Linked DNA regions of Nothobranchius furzeri. The protein of the gene in region 1 interacts with the protein of each later gene in a biochemical or structural test. Links are inferred from orthologs where the notes say so. Each region holds a gene or a part of one and is shown in the gene's direction. Other genes may lie near its edges.

Evidence for each region. The genes of interacting proteins can lie anywhere in the genome.
Region 2: of the proteins of uba1 (region 1) and ube2t, one has a biochemical effect on the other in vitro, tested with the Homo sapiens proteins (4 studies listed by BioGRID, with this or other methods). The link is inferred for Nothobranchius furzeri from reciprocal best matches to the Homo sapiens genes UBA1 and UBE2T.

The regions. Positions count from the first base shown.
Region 1 is NC_091755.1:24,214,538-24,221,488, reverse strand, and holds part of uba1 (ubiquitin-like modifier-activating enzyme 1), read left to right. Parts: intron 1-3,827; coding exon 3,828-3,962; intron 3,963-4,051; coding exon 4,052-4,158; intron 4,159-4,245; coding exon 4,246-4,336; intron 4,337-4,413; coding exon 4,414-4,644; intron 4,645-4,730; coding exon 4,731-4,877; intron 4,878-5,067; coding exon 5,068-5,244; intron 5,245-5,371; coding exon 5,372-5,479; intron 5,480-5,590; coding exon 5,591-5,671; intron 5,672-6,951. UniProt on the Homo sapiens protein: Catalyzes the first step in ubiquitin conjugation to mark cellular proteins for degradation through the ubiquitin-proteasome system.
Region 2 is NC_091755.1:24,717,385-24,724,988, forward strand, and holds ube2t (ubiquitin-conjugating enzyme E2 T), read left to right. Parts: upstream 1-2,869; 5' UTR 2,870-2,997; intron 2,998-3,163; 5' UTR 3,164-3,164; coding exon 3,165-3,273; intron 3,274-3,602; coding exon 3,603-3,672; intron 3,673-3,763; coding exon 3,764-3,869; intron 3,870-4,100; coding exon 4,101-4,199; intron 4,200-4,445; coding exon 4,446-4,529; intron 4,530-6,755; coding exon 6,756-6,866; 3' UTR 6,867-7,023; downstream 7,024-7,604. Other genes in the region: zgc:194242 (uncharacterized methyltransferase YdaC), read left to right, coding at 544-798, 896-1,076, 1,152-1,348. UniProt on the Homo sapiens protein: Accepts ubiquitin from the E1 complex and catalyzes its covalent attachment to other proteins. Catalyzes monoubiquitination. Involved in mitomycin-C (MMC)-induced DNA repair.

The DNA.
Region 1 (6,951 bases):
TCCAAGCGTTTTTTTCTTTGCCGCTGGTGGCAGCACTGCCTGCTCCAAGGTCTCTGGCTGGGCTGCAGCTGACGCACTGACACCGCTCCCTCCATCTTCCATGTGTACTATCTCCTCGATCAGCGCGGACTTTACCTCTCAGCATGCGCTGTCGCGATATTTAATCAAGTGCGGTAATGGCGGTGGCACGTCCTGCAGCGCGGTGGGTTTCTTAATATCGCGATATTTTCTTCTTGCGGTTACCGCAACAGCCCTAGTGTGCATATCTGTCTGAGGTGTTTTTTTTTTTGTTTTTTTTTGTATAGCAAAGCTACCCTCTCAGGTGAGGGTAACACTGAAGTGCCTTTTTTTTTCCCTCCCCCTGATTTTATCCTCATAAACCCTCTTGATCTATTACGGTAGCGCGACTCGGGTTGCGAATGACCACAGTCGCCAATTCTTGTCATGTATGTATGTCTGATCTCCAAATTGTGTGTACTGAAACTCTTTATTTCTCTCTATTCTTATTTCCCTCTGGGATTAATAAAGTATTATTGAATTGAATTGTCCCAGAGGAGGTCTTGTTTTTGACATGTATGCATTCTTTACATTTGCATCACACAAGTCCAATGTCTTGTTTTCTCTGGTGGAGCAGCTGACAAACTGTTGAAATGTTGGAAGTGTAGCAGAGAGCGAGGCATGATTAAAATCACCAGATATAGCCACAAATGCATTGGGGTGCTGGGTTTGTAGCTTAGCGACAACTGAACTGATGGCATCACATGCACTTTCAGCAATGGCTGAAGGTGGAATATAAACGGTTGCCAAGACAACACTGGTGAACTCTCTTGGCAAATAATATAGGTGACAACTCACTGCCAAGAGATCTACATCTGGGCTACAGAGACATTTCACTGAAACATGACCTGGATGGCACCATCTGTTGTTGACTAGCACTGCCACTCCCCCTCCTTTTCTTTTCCCGCTCCTCTTCAGTTCTCTGTGAGTGCGTTTACATGCAGCCAGTAACCCTTTTAAAACCCGAATATTCACAATAACCCGGTTCCGCAGGTCCATGTAAACACCGTCAAAAACCCGGATATGCTCATAACCGGGTTTTTAAAAACCTGGTTACTACACCTGGGGTAACCCTTTTCTAACCCGAATGTTTGGTCGTGTAAACGCATATCGGGATATCTCCATCAAAGCGTGTGTTCTGCGCATGCTCTGTTCGCAAGGAATCTTGGTCTTTTGAGTAGCGAGACATCTTGTATGCGCCAGAACACCGGAAGTAAACGACAAGTTGGGAGCAACATGGCGAGTCGCGGCACAGCACCACACTTTTGGAGTGACGAGGAAACTAAAGCGCAAACAAACGCGGTCGCTATCTCTTACGAACTGGGAAACATGTTGTTTTCACGGATACCGGAACAAGAAGAACCGGAAATGACGCATATTGGGTCTGGACGTAGTCCATACGTCCTGACGCTACCCCATCGTCCGCATTTAAATCAGGTTATGCAAGTTGGGGGTAACTCTTTCTATTTATGCTTGTAAACTGGTTATTCTGATCAACTTAGAAACCCGAATACCGACCTTAACCCGATAATAACCCGGATATTGGCTGCATGTAAACGTAGTCTGTCACGTCTCAGTGAAACACATAACACTGCACTGCCGAAACTCTGGCTGAGTCCTTGAAAGAGCTTGGAGTTCATCCATCTTGTTGGCCAGTGATCTCACATTGCCCATTGTGATCGATAGAAGAGATGGTTTGAATTTCATCTTTGTCTCCGTTTTGCTCCCGCTCTGCGCCCACGCTTCTTGCGTTTTAGCTCATTTGGGATTTGTGGCTTCAGTTGAGGTATTATTTCCCCCTTCCAATGTTAATCAGCTGCTCCCAATTGTAAACCAGCTTGTTGCCATGGTTACACATCATAACAAATGCTCAAAAAGTGGAAAAAAAAGGCAGTAAAAATCCTCTAAGCTTCACAGCACCAGAAACAGAAAAGTAAAATGTCCAAAAAATACGGTTTTTCTTGAGAAACTAGAAGAAAAAATGTCCAAAAAAAGGCTAAACTTGCTTATAGTCAACAGAGCTACTCCAACATGCAGCCACCCAGAGCAGAGCAGCTTTAAGCATTTTTTTCTCCCAACTTTTAACTCATTAACTGCCAGCTGTTTCCTGATCAGAAAAGCCCTTCGCTGCCAGCAATTTTCAGCGTTTTCTCTGGGGTGTTTTTTTGGGAAGAGTCACAGAACGTTCTGCTTTATGATGATGTCAACACCAAAACAAAGCAGAGGCTCACTTTTTACATCGGGAAGAATCCGCGCGTTTCGAGCGTTATCCGTTCTTTCATAATCCGTTGTCGAATTGTGATCGGCAGAAGCTTTTCCGATCCGCCTCACTTTTTTTTACAGCAGTAGCCCAAAACGATCTACCACATGGATCTTCTGCTTCCTGATCACGTGACGTGTGACATACGCGGATGAAGTTCAGCTAGAGTGTTTGTTCTCACGGTGCGGGGGCTCGTTCCGGTGCCCACATGGTAAAAAAAAAAAAAGAAAAAAAAAAAGGGAGTTAAGATTTGGTCACTTAATTTCTGTTGTTAATTGATTGGTCACTTCCTGTTCAACACGCACATTTTCATAGATGGAATAAAGTGGTAAAAGTAGATGGCTCTTGATGACTGATGTTGTTGCATTAAAATGCTTTAAGATGCTAATCAGTTAACAGTTAATGGCTAAGATGTTCTAATGTTTGAAATTATGATTATGTATCACAATAAAACACATATTTAGAGATTAACTGTGAAGCTTTCTACTATCGTGACACAAATTATCTTCAATACTAACTAGCACGCACTAAACTAGAAAATAACTTTCTTTTTTTTTTGTGGAGTGCATGTTTACTGTGGTTTAGTTGTTTAAGTTGCTTTATTGTTAGACCAACATGTCTGAGCAGGTTTGGGTGAAAAGGCTGCAGATGGGAGGAGTGCTGGAGAGGTTCTGGCAATAACTTAAGCCGGGCGTACACTGTGTGACTTTTTCACTTTTTTGAGCCGATTTTCCACTCGTGCGAGAATCCACGAGATCAGGGCGAGTTTTGCGTCGAGCGTCATGTAGTGTACAGGGGGTTACGAAAGGCGATTAACACCACGTGACCAGCTGCCGATCAGCAATCGTGAGCTCGCACGGACTTCTGGCGTGTTTAATATTTTGCTCGTGCCTCGTGAGGGTATCGCACTGTTGAAGCGGCGCTGCGAGCAGCTGCGACCCAAAATGTATCAGAACCGCTCACGGCACATGCGCAATCCTGCATCAACACCGCTCCCCGCTATTTCCCTAATAACACACGCTGTTCGTTTTAATTTCTACACGTTTTTTTTACTCACAAAGATTGTCAAGAAAGCGTGTTAGTCGTGTTCATGTCAAATTAAACTGATCACAAAACACAGATTTACTTTCTTTATTTCGTTTTCCTCATCCAAACCCCATAAATCGCTGTGCGTCCTCCTGCAGCACTCCCGAAGGACAACAGGCAAAACAAGACAAAAAAGTAACGTGTTGAGTAAAAACGGCTATTTTTAGGTCCGATGTGTTGCTACCAGACGTACAGTGTGAGCAGTCAGGTCGCATCCGAGAACTGGGTCGTGCAGTGTGAGCGCATGACTCGTGAGATCTGCCCTGCGAGGAAGTCTTACAGTTTGAGCTGAAGCGGAGTGCTTCGAGTGAAAAAGTCGCACAATGTACGCCCGTCTTAAGACTTCTCTTTTCATCTCGTTCACATAAATGGGGCTGTTGGTGTTTTTGTCCCTCCTGACATCTTGTATTTTGTCTGTGGTTAGTTTTACATTCGGGAGGAGGATCTGGGGCAGAACAGAGCAGAAGTGAGTCAGCCCCATTTGGCTGAACTCAACAACTACGTTTCTGTGACTGCGTACACCGGAGAGCTCACTGAAGACTACCTTACCAAGTTCCAGGTAAACCTGCAATATAATATAAAGACTTTATTTTCCTGGTGAGAAAAGAGCATTTTTTTTTAATGTTGGTGTCTATGGTTTTCCCCAAGGTGGTGGTGCTGACTAACTCAACTCTAGATGAACAACAGCGTTTGGGGGAGTTTTGTCACACTAAAGAAATCAAGCTGGTTGTTGCAGACACACGCGGCCTATTTGGGTAAAGCTCACTCTTGTTTTTATGTTTTCTGTTGACTTCAGTACAAAGCCAGTTGTTAGACTATTTTCTGTTTCTTTCGTCTTGTAGTCAACTGTTCTGTGACTTTGGGGAGGAGATGGTAGTATATGATACCAACGGAGAGCAGCCGCTTAGTGCCATGATCTCCATGATCACAAAGGTTAGCTTGTTCCTTTCATGTTTGTCACATAAAAGACGATTGACTTTAACAGGAAGGTTGCTGATCTGTGTCTTTAGGACAGCGCCGGTGTTGTAACATGTCTGGATGAGGCTCGTCACGGGTTTGAGAGTGGAGACCACGTCACCTTCACAGAGGTGCAGGGTATGACAGAGCTCAACGGGTGTCAGCCAGTGGAAATCAAAGTCCTGGGTCCATACACCTTCAGCATCTGTGACACGACAGGCTTTTCCGACTACATCAGAGGAGGGATCGTCACCCAAGTTAAGATGGCAAAGAAGATCAGTTTTGTAAGTGGTTAGAGGGCATTCGAGGTGCCACTGTCATTTCTAATGTTGCAACTAATCAGCACATAACCATCACTTTTCCTCTGCAGAAATCCATCTGCACCTCCATGGCCGAGCCAGAGTTCATGCTGACAGATTTTGCTAAATTTGACCATCCAGGACAACTTCATGCAGGCTTCCAGGCGATCCATGCATTCCAGAAGAAACACAGCCGCCTTCCGGCACCTTGGAGCCAGGTATCTGTCCGACTGCATAGTTGGAGGTTTAGTATCTAACGTATATTTTTGATTGACTGGCTCCACAGGAGCTATCCTGGAAGCCTTTGTAATGGCTAGCCCTGGTGATAACTCAGCAGAATGCATGGGCAGTGCCAGTGTGTATTTGATTTAGTGAGATTGGTAAATTGCTGAGCTTTGTGTTTTCCAGGCTGATGGTGAAGAGTTACTGACTTTGGCCAAGGAGGTGAACTCTGCTCAGACGGGCTCTGCCAAAGTGGAGCAGCTGAACGAAGCGCTCATCAAGAAGATGGCTTATGTCGCCGCCGGGGATCTTTCTCCTATCAATGCCTTCATCGGGGGCGTGGCTGCACAAGAAGTGATGAAGGTTGGAGGAAAATGCATAAACTAAGAGCTGCAGAATAAAAATCCAAAACCTTTTAACCAGACTTGAATGTTCAAAGTGATCAGTACAAATAAGTTTGTTAAATATTTTACATTCTGTGTCCTGTCAGGCCTCTACGGGGAAATTTATGCCTGTGATGCAGTGGCTGTACTTTGATGCTCTGGAGTGTCTGTCTGAAGGGGACGACGTCATGCTCACAGAGGAAGAGTGCTCGCCTGTCAGTGTTCAGAGAATATTAAAGTGTTTTTCACTGAAGACAAAACCACACGACTGCTGAGGAAAACCTCGGTGTTAACCTTTTTTTATTTTTACGTCTCTGCTTTTCTAGAGGAACTGTCGTTATGACGGGCAGATCGCCGTGTTTGGCACAAAGCTTCAGGATATGCTAGCCAACCAGCGCTACTTCCTGGTGAGTCACAATAGGGACTTTTAAACAGGAAGTGCCTTTAAAAATGTCTGAAAACGGTGGCACTACAGTAACTTTAAAAGTACACAGACTAATAATAATTTTGTATTTTTTGGCCTTACATGGGTTAAAGCAGGAATTGAGTTCTCCGTCGTGGCGACGGAAATCTGTCAGTTGGAATAATCAGAAAAAAGTTCAGTCAAAATCTCTTATTGCGCTCGCTTGGGTTTAGTAGTCTCTCGCTCTCTCCTGTTTCTAATTGAAACGCGCACCGGTATTGTTGAAACGTGTTTCTGCACCGCCCAAGCTGCAAAAACGCGTGCGCTCATTGCTCGCTCCCACGGTGCGCACAAACAAACTGCGCCCGCACCAGGCGCTGGGATTCTAACAGAGCCAATAAAGCTCTGATATCACAATGAGAGTTAACGTAATGAGCGGAACCAGGACCCAAATTCCCGGTGGGCCGATCTGAGGTCGGTGTTTTTAGTTGTCTCTTTGTTTTTTTCGGGCCTGTGTTCAGTCATGACGCTCTGCTGATCACCTGCTGATGAGAGGATTTCTCCTGTCAGTGGAACAGGTGAGCTGCTGAACAAGCGTTAGTTCCTAGAAACACTGTCTATGCCCAGACTAGTGACCTGTTATTTGTAATTTTATAATTAATATTAAGGGAATGCACTAAACCCACAAATGATGGAAGATGAGATTAAATATTATTAATCATATTACCATCAAATGTAAATAAGTATAACAGATAACTAATCTTGATGAAAAAATTATATTAATTTTTATTTTAATATTGATTATATTTAATTTCTACGGTGTGGATGTCTGTGAACATTACAGAATATTCAGATTGGTGTAAAGAACATGTTATTAATAACGGGTCATGATCTAAAGCTGGTCTGAGGTATAAAACTCTGCCCTGGGCCTAAAGCCCTGCAGATATATTTAGTTTCTATGAACACCAACAACAAATAAATAACAGCAGCTGGATTCTACTTTGTTCCTTAAATTGTGTCACGTAGTTTTTCAAGTTCTGCAGCTCACACGTTCATCATTGAGCCCTACCAGCTGATTGGTTCTTTTGGTATCTAGTGCAGTTCTGGTACTGAGCAGCATGGATGCATTAGTGGATTTCACTGTAGTCTGTGTTCATAATGGATTAAAGGACAGGAAAACATTAACTCAAATATGTCATTATAATGAACATGTATAGATACTTCATCATACATAGCTGCCAGCCTGTAACTACTTTCCCCCCAAAAATGCACCAGACTGATGCG
Region 2 (7,604 bases), about 500 kb from region 1:
CCTTCCGGGAAATGAAAACGAAAGAAACATAATCCTCAAAGGGGGTGTGTGCAAACGTTGGAGGAAGCGTAGATCACCTTTCCAAATATATTTGAGTAGACGCTTATTAATAAACCGCGTTGTAAACAAATCTGTAATAAACGATGTGTACAATAAATCATTAAACATTGAATTCTTATGCATCAACTATATGAATAATTAAGTTCAAGGTGAGAGGAAATGCTGGATAATTCACAGACTGGGATCAGAAAGCGGTGGGAGCGAGAACCGCAGAAGAGAGCGGCGCGTGCGCGCACAAATAAACGCGAGCGCTCCTCCCACACAGGAAAAGAGAAGCGCGCTCCAGCGTCTCCACAGGGGTGAAAGGAGGCCATTTATTTTTTCAGGTAAACTGGAGGGGAGAACGTGCCTTACTGGTTTAATCCCACGTAACTGTTTAACCCACGTGACTGTAAAGGACTGTCGCTCAAAATGTCTGAACAGTTAGGTTTTTGTGCACAAATTTAAAGTCACCCCGTGTTTTTGTCTTTTTTTTTTCCAGCAATGTGGACCGAGCAACTAGGGAAACAACTTGGCAACCCCACACGGTCACTGGGGGGATGGTTGGTCAGCAAACTTTTTAAAATCCGCAACCAGGTTCTGGAGGACAACGCAGTGCAGCTTTGTGGGATCCAGCCGGGTGACACAGTTCTAGAGCTGGGTCATGGTCCTGGTCTGGGTCTGCAGTCTGCAGCCAAGCTCCTCACTGAGCCCACGGGCCACCTTATAGGGGTGGACTACTCTGAGTACATGCACCAGGTGAAGCACGGTTTATAAGAACTACAACAGCTCGATGGTCTAGTGGAATATATTTATATGTTCCTTTTAGAATAGTTAATAATTTGCTCTGTTGCAGATGGCAAAAGAAAGGATGAAGGATTTCATTGCCAGTGGTAAAGTGACCTTTCACCTCTGTGATGTTGCTGCAATGCCTCTGGCTGATGACACAGTAGATAAAGTATTTCACTGTAACTGTTACTACTTCTGGCCTGATCTCAACAAGGCAGCCACAGAGATACACCGGGTCATGAAACCAGGTAATATGACGGTTACATCCACCTAACATAAACCTGCTGCAAACATTGTTGTTTCCTGATTTTTAACCCATTCAGGAGGTCTGATGGTAACCACAATGAGACTTTCCCATGTGGCTGTTTTGGGAGCAAAGCGAGTGATGCCAGGAGAGAACTGGCGTCCAGATGCCTACATGGCAGCGCTCAGAGACTCTGGCTTCACTGATGTCAAAATGGAAGACAAATATCATCACAACATCCCTTTTCAGGCGATGTTTGCCACTGCTTCAAAATGAGATGTACCGTCAAGCTGTATGTGTGATTCTATCAGTTTGTTTTTTTAAATAATAATAATAATCACAGTGAAGATAAAGCTCTAAATTATTTTCAGATTCTCAGTTGTGTCACAACATTTAGTTCTGTGCTCTCATTGTGCAGATGAATTCTATTTTAAAGACACACAGATGAATTGTTACATTGAAATGTTTTAGTCGCAATTAGACATTTTTCTGTTAAAGTTCTGAAAAAGTTGGGAATATGTGTCAAGTTAATATTCACATTTCTAGGCAATAATTAGAATAGTTATTTTCTCTAAAACACACTAAAAATGATTAAAACTATACATTCATAGACTAATAATGTTGTTTAAAGAAGTAAGAATCTTTTTAATGTAGTTGATAAAATGTGGGAAACTCCTTTACTTTGTTATTATTATTTTTTTAAGTAATTTAGAACAGACGACACTAAATCATTCATGTTCTGTACCACTCATGTTCACTCGATCCAGCAAATTTATAAGAGGTGAGACCCAAGACAGATACCAATCTAAGAGGCTGAACTCTCAAGTGAGTTTTCTCTTCACACACAAAACCCGAGAGTCGTTTAGTTGTCGCCACTGGAGAACGACAATTCATCTGAGTTTGAAGTCCTGTATATCAAGCTGGGTTTAGCTCTTTTACTCCACAGAATTATCATATTTCAAACTAAATAAATACAGTTTAATTGTTTTCTTATTCAGCTAAATAGTATATAAAGACTGTTAGGTCGAGTTTTCTTGTCGCAAACACGCTAAAACGTTTTATTTTGAAAAAACTCAGGAAGTGTTTCTACCAAACCTAAAAAAAGAATTAGTATATCTTCTCCTCATTTGTTCTCCTAAATTTTATTATTCATAAGAAAACAAAAGAAAAAGAAAGATTATGACTTTTTAAATCAGCTTTATTGAAATATAAAACCTAAATGATCTCTTCTAAATGGTTTAACAGAACTATGGTGTAGTTTCGCCCTAACTCCACTAGATGGCGGTAGTTCCCCTCGCCGTTCACGGATTTGTAAATCTCTCTTCTTCTGCCGAATGTTATTACTCCCAAGAGAACAAAAAATAGGATTTTTCAGCTTTATTGAGATAAGAAAAAAACATGCAAAATCCACACAGAAAGGCCAGAGAAAACATTTGATTCAAATATCCATTTGATGCAGAAGAATAGTCAAAAATAGTATATTACAGAAAGACTGGAAGAGAATTAGAGAAAAATTTCTAAAAAAATTAATGTTGGAAGAGGTAAGATGCACAGTTAGAAACATGCGTGAATATTTTGATACTCAAACAGGATACACTGTTTTGTTTAAACTTCAGCAAACAACCAGAAATATTTCAACAGAAGAAGAATAAATATTTTTATTTTCTTGCGGAATATTTGAAGCAATATTAAATAAAAAAATAGACAATCTTGAGAAAAATAAAGAAAAAGAAAAACACTTGTAATATTCTATTAGTATCAGTTGGTGGAGGTAATGCACCAATCTGTGATTTCAAGCTACACGAAGAAGAAGCAGCGCGAGGCGGCGGCGCGTCGAGAGGGAAATCCAAAAACAACTCCGCCAACAAGTAAATCTTGTGAGAAGTTTAACCGCTCAGAGCAGAGGAGGACATCAGCTGGGAAACGTGAGTGAATAAGAGAAAACATCGATGCTTGTTTGTAACAATGAGCCTGCTAACCCTAACCCGAGCTAGTTTAACCAAATTCTTACCAGAAAGCACGATTATCTCAGCGTTTATCTTCACATACCCTCCTTATTTTATGTATTTATTTATGTTCCGCCTCTAAAAGAATGCAAAGGGCTTCCCGTTTGAAGCGTGAACTTCAGATGTTGAGCACCGATCCTCCTCCCGGGATCACATGCTGGCAGACCGAGGAACGGATCGACGACCTCCGGGCACGTAAGTCCCACCAAGTCCCTGAATCTGAAACCACTATCATACAATCTTAGTAGAACAGAACCCATGCAGTAGCTCCATTTTTACTATCAGAGGCTTCTATGTCTTTATAAACAACAGCCATCAACGTTTTGGGGATAAATCTAGACTTTTGTCCATAATTAACAAACATGATCTGACTGCAGTGTGTGTTTTTGGTGTTCTTCAATACTTCGAAATGAGTAAAGTGTCTAAAACTTTAATATCCATCCTTAGTAATAATGGTTATTAACTTTTCTTATTATTTACTTGGATGTTGCTGTTCAAAAACTGTTTTTTTCTCTTCCTTGCAGAGATAGTAGGAGGAACAGGTACTCCTTATGAAGGTGGAGTCTTCTCCCTTGAGGTCAAGATACCAGAGAGGTTTATATTTTATTTGCATTGATGAAACTTCTGCAGTTTTTTTTTACTAGACACAGTAACTTGCCAAGTGTTTACCATTCTTTTCACACAGATATCCATTTGAGCCTCCAAAAATGCGATTCTTGACCCCAATCTACCACCCAAACATCGACACCTCGGGGCGTATCTGTCATGATGCTCTCAAACTACCACCAAAGGTTGTGAGAATAAAATAAACTTTTGATGTGCTTTATTCTAATTTTTTTCTTGCTTTGTACCACCTGATTGTTTGTGTATATGAGCGCACACACACACACACACACACACACCACACACACACACACACACACACACACACACACACCACACACACACACCACACACACACACACACGCACACACACTCACTCGTGTGTGTATGATCACTTTGTTTTCTGTGTTTTTTTCAGGGTGCCTGGAAGCCGTCTCTGAACATCTCCACTGTTCTTACCTCGATTCAGTTGCTCATGGCTGAGCCCAATCCAGATGACCCACTGATGGCAGATATCGTAGGTCATCTTCTTTTAGAAACGTGATCTCATGCTTCCTATTGGTTAGTTTTTATAAACATATTGGTTCCTGTGAGTTAACATCAATGAGGAGTTTAATGAGAACCTGTTTTTAAGATATTTAATTTGAAAGTTTCTGTGAAATCTGGTTTATTTTAACATTGAAACTGTATCTGTGAGCATGTCCAATCAAATGGATAGTTACAGTGCATGTTTCTGACTTTCAATTTTCTGTTTCAAATTCAGTCTTCAGAGTTCAAATACAACAAACACGTGTTTGTGGAGAAGGCCAGGAGGTGGACACAGGAACATGCAGTTCAGAAGAACACTGTAAGCTCTTATTCTCTCATTCACACCGTGGTTCTGCCAAACAGCCACTCCATTACATCTCATCTTCTAGCCCGTTTGGTTCTGTGAAGACCTCTGGGGCAAACTCAGAGGTGGATCAACTTCAACCATCTATTCTGTCACCGTTGTTTCACACCTGACACAGATGCAGGAAGGCGTAGGGCTACTGGAAAATATTTAGTGATTTTCCTGATTTATTAAAATGGTTGATTTCATTGTTCACTCAATCTGTACAATTTTGGTTAGATTTTTTTTATCCTTAATGGTGTAATCATGTGCGTTGGCTTACTTGAACCACTAAGGGGTGCTAATTTCAAAAGAAAACCTCATCTTTTAACATTGAAAAGCACAAGTTGTACATGTAAAGGGAAGGTTTTGAGCCACCATAGTTCATGTGTGCTTTGCTTCACTCATTTTTGTGCAGACACACTAAGTTGGTCAAAGTGTAATGGAGTTTACTAAAAGTGCAGAAACTGGTTCCCAAAAAGGGTCTTCCTATGACCGAAATGAAAAATTAGTCAAACTCCAAAGCAGATGTTGATCGATCTTATTTTTTCTATTGCTGATGTCGATAGATAAAGGTCATGGTCAGCCGACGGCCGGTGTCGGTACAGGATCTGCTCGGGTGCAAGATCGGCTCGGGGTCCTTCGACTGCCGATGACGTCAAAGTACGGCAAACCCACTCGGACAAAATACACTACACATCTATACTGTTGGAAAGAATTTAGCAGTTTTGTTATTAAAATAATGTTTCTTAAGACATAAGTTTGTGTTTATAATGGTATTTGTAAAATAAAACACTATATTTTATTCATAATGTTGAACTCCTCTTTGAGCACATCCCTTGAAGAATCATAGGTATTAGCAACACCTGTGAAATTGTATTTGCAGGAAAGAAGTGTGTCCCGTTTATTGAAGTATTTTGTTTTTAGAGTTTTTGACGTCTTGTCCATGAGTAGTTCAGTTACACTCATAGCTGCTAGCCAAAACTCTGGAGTTAAAAGTTTTCTGGCTTTACTAAAATACCTGTCTGTACTTATTTGATTGATGATATTTTTACTTTCTATTAGACTCCAAATGTAATCATTTGGCACGTTTCTAATTCATAATTTGTAATAACGTAATCGGCGATATTAGCATTAGCATTCCTATGGGTTTTTCCATGTATATCAGCATTGCGCTAACCACTCGCTGCCAAATTGCAGCCTTTGAGATTAGAAAATCTCCTTTTGTCACATCGCAATTTAATTGCACATGCAGTTAATCTTTCAGCCCTAATATACATACAGCTCTATGCTAAAAGTGTATTTTCAAAGAGGTAATGACGGATTTCTTTGTAAAAGTTGTCCATCTTTCCAATAGAAAGATTTGCCTGGACGAACGTAACGTGATAACAACGTAACGTGATTAAGTAATTCCGTAAGGTTCATGTTCAGCCAATCAACTACTTAGACGTCATCGGCAGTCGACGGACCCCGAGCCAATTTTGCACCCGAGCAGATCTTGTACCGACACCGGTTTGTGCTGCAGATGTTTTGGGCCAATTTTTCATGGCCAATATCGAGATGTTTTCCATCTTATTATTTTTTTTTTGCTAAAATGTCACTAATAACATCAGTTGATGCACAAAATTTCAGAAATGGAATCAGCTTTTGAACACTGACTTTAGCCAGCTGTTAAATCGGTGTTAAAATAAGACATCTGTCTAAAGTTACTCAAACAAATCAGTAAACTGACCAAGTGTTAAATATTCCAAACTGGTAAATAAAAATACATTTTCATTGGAAATAGTTTTTATAGCAAAGATGTTATTCAGTAACATAAAAATGCACTTAAAATATAATCTGCGTTAGCTTCAGGCTGCCCAGGGATGTGCCTGACTTTAAATCAGCTTTACTAAGGAGGTATATCTGCTGATTTCGATATATAAAAAAAGGTCAAATATTGACCCAGTATATTGGCTGACCAATGTATCGGGCTACCCCTACTCCAAAAATAAACTTGGAAAATTCTTATGAAAGCCTGAAGGCTGTTGACTCATTGGGGAAAAATGATAGTGGAATGAAGAGTTACTTAAGACTTATGCACATTTCTACAACCAGATGGGACCATTTGAGTTTCTGCATTTCTCTTTAAAGTTGCAGAGGAGCACCAAAAAGCTGCAATAGGCCTGTTAGTCTAAATCAGTTTTCTGTGTTTTTGTTCAGGGAGTTGCAGAGAACGACAAAGAAAACACTCCAGATCAGAAAGTCCCTCCAAAACGAGATGCGTTCTCTCAACAGGAGACAGAAAAACCAGCAAAGCGACATTGTGTGTAGCTTCAACATCGTTGCACATCTGTTGACTCTTTGTGGTTTGAATCTGCAATTTAGTATTAATGCTGCCTTTCATTTATTACGTATAATCCGTAGGTTTTGCACATGTATACACAATCTGTATTGTAATTGTAATAAAGTTAAATAATGTTGTGTGTCACGTCTTGACCTTTAATGCGTTATGGTGGTGAGGCAGAGCGCTAGATGTATATAAAGTATGAAGATCATAATTTTGTTCAGACATATGCTTAACAGTAGTTTATTAAGTATGTACAACCTAACTAGTACACATTTTTGTTTTTACAAACTAAAAGATTTTATTTCTTAATATATAAAATAATATAATTGTTTATAAAAAAGGAGACAAATATCATGAGGCTGTAGTTTGTCAATACCGTAGTTCAGAGGTAGTTACATTGTTTATATATTTATAAATGCCGATTGCTATCCTACTCCAAAGTCAGCAGAAATATAGCTATGTACCATTGCATTCATGACTGCATTACACCTGTAGAGCAGAGGTAAATATTTGAGACAGGGACATGCAAACCATACAAAACCATGTGAAATTCGCTTCTGCTGCATTATGTTGCCCCTACAGAACACTTATCTAATAGCTGTTGTATCGGACATTTGTAAAGTTCTTTATCGCACAATGTTGCTGTAGAAAACACTTCCAGCTTACGCTGGTAAAATGATCAGGCGTGTTTGACAAAGATTCCCCTTTTGGAAATAGAACTC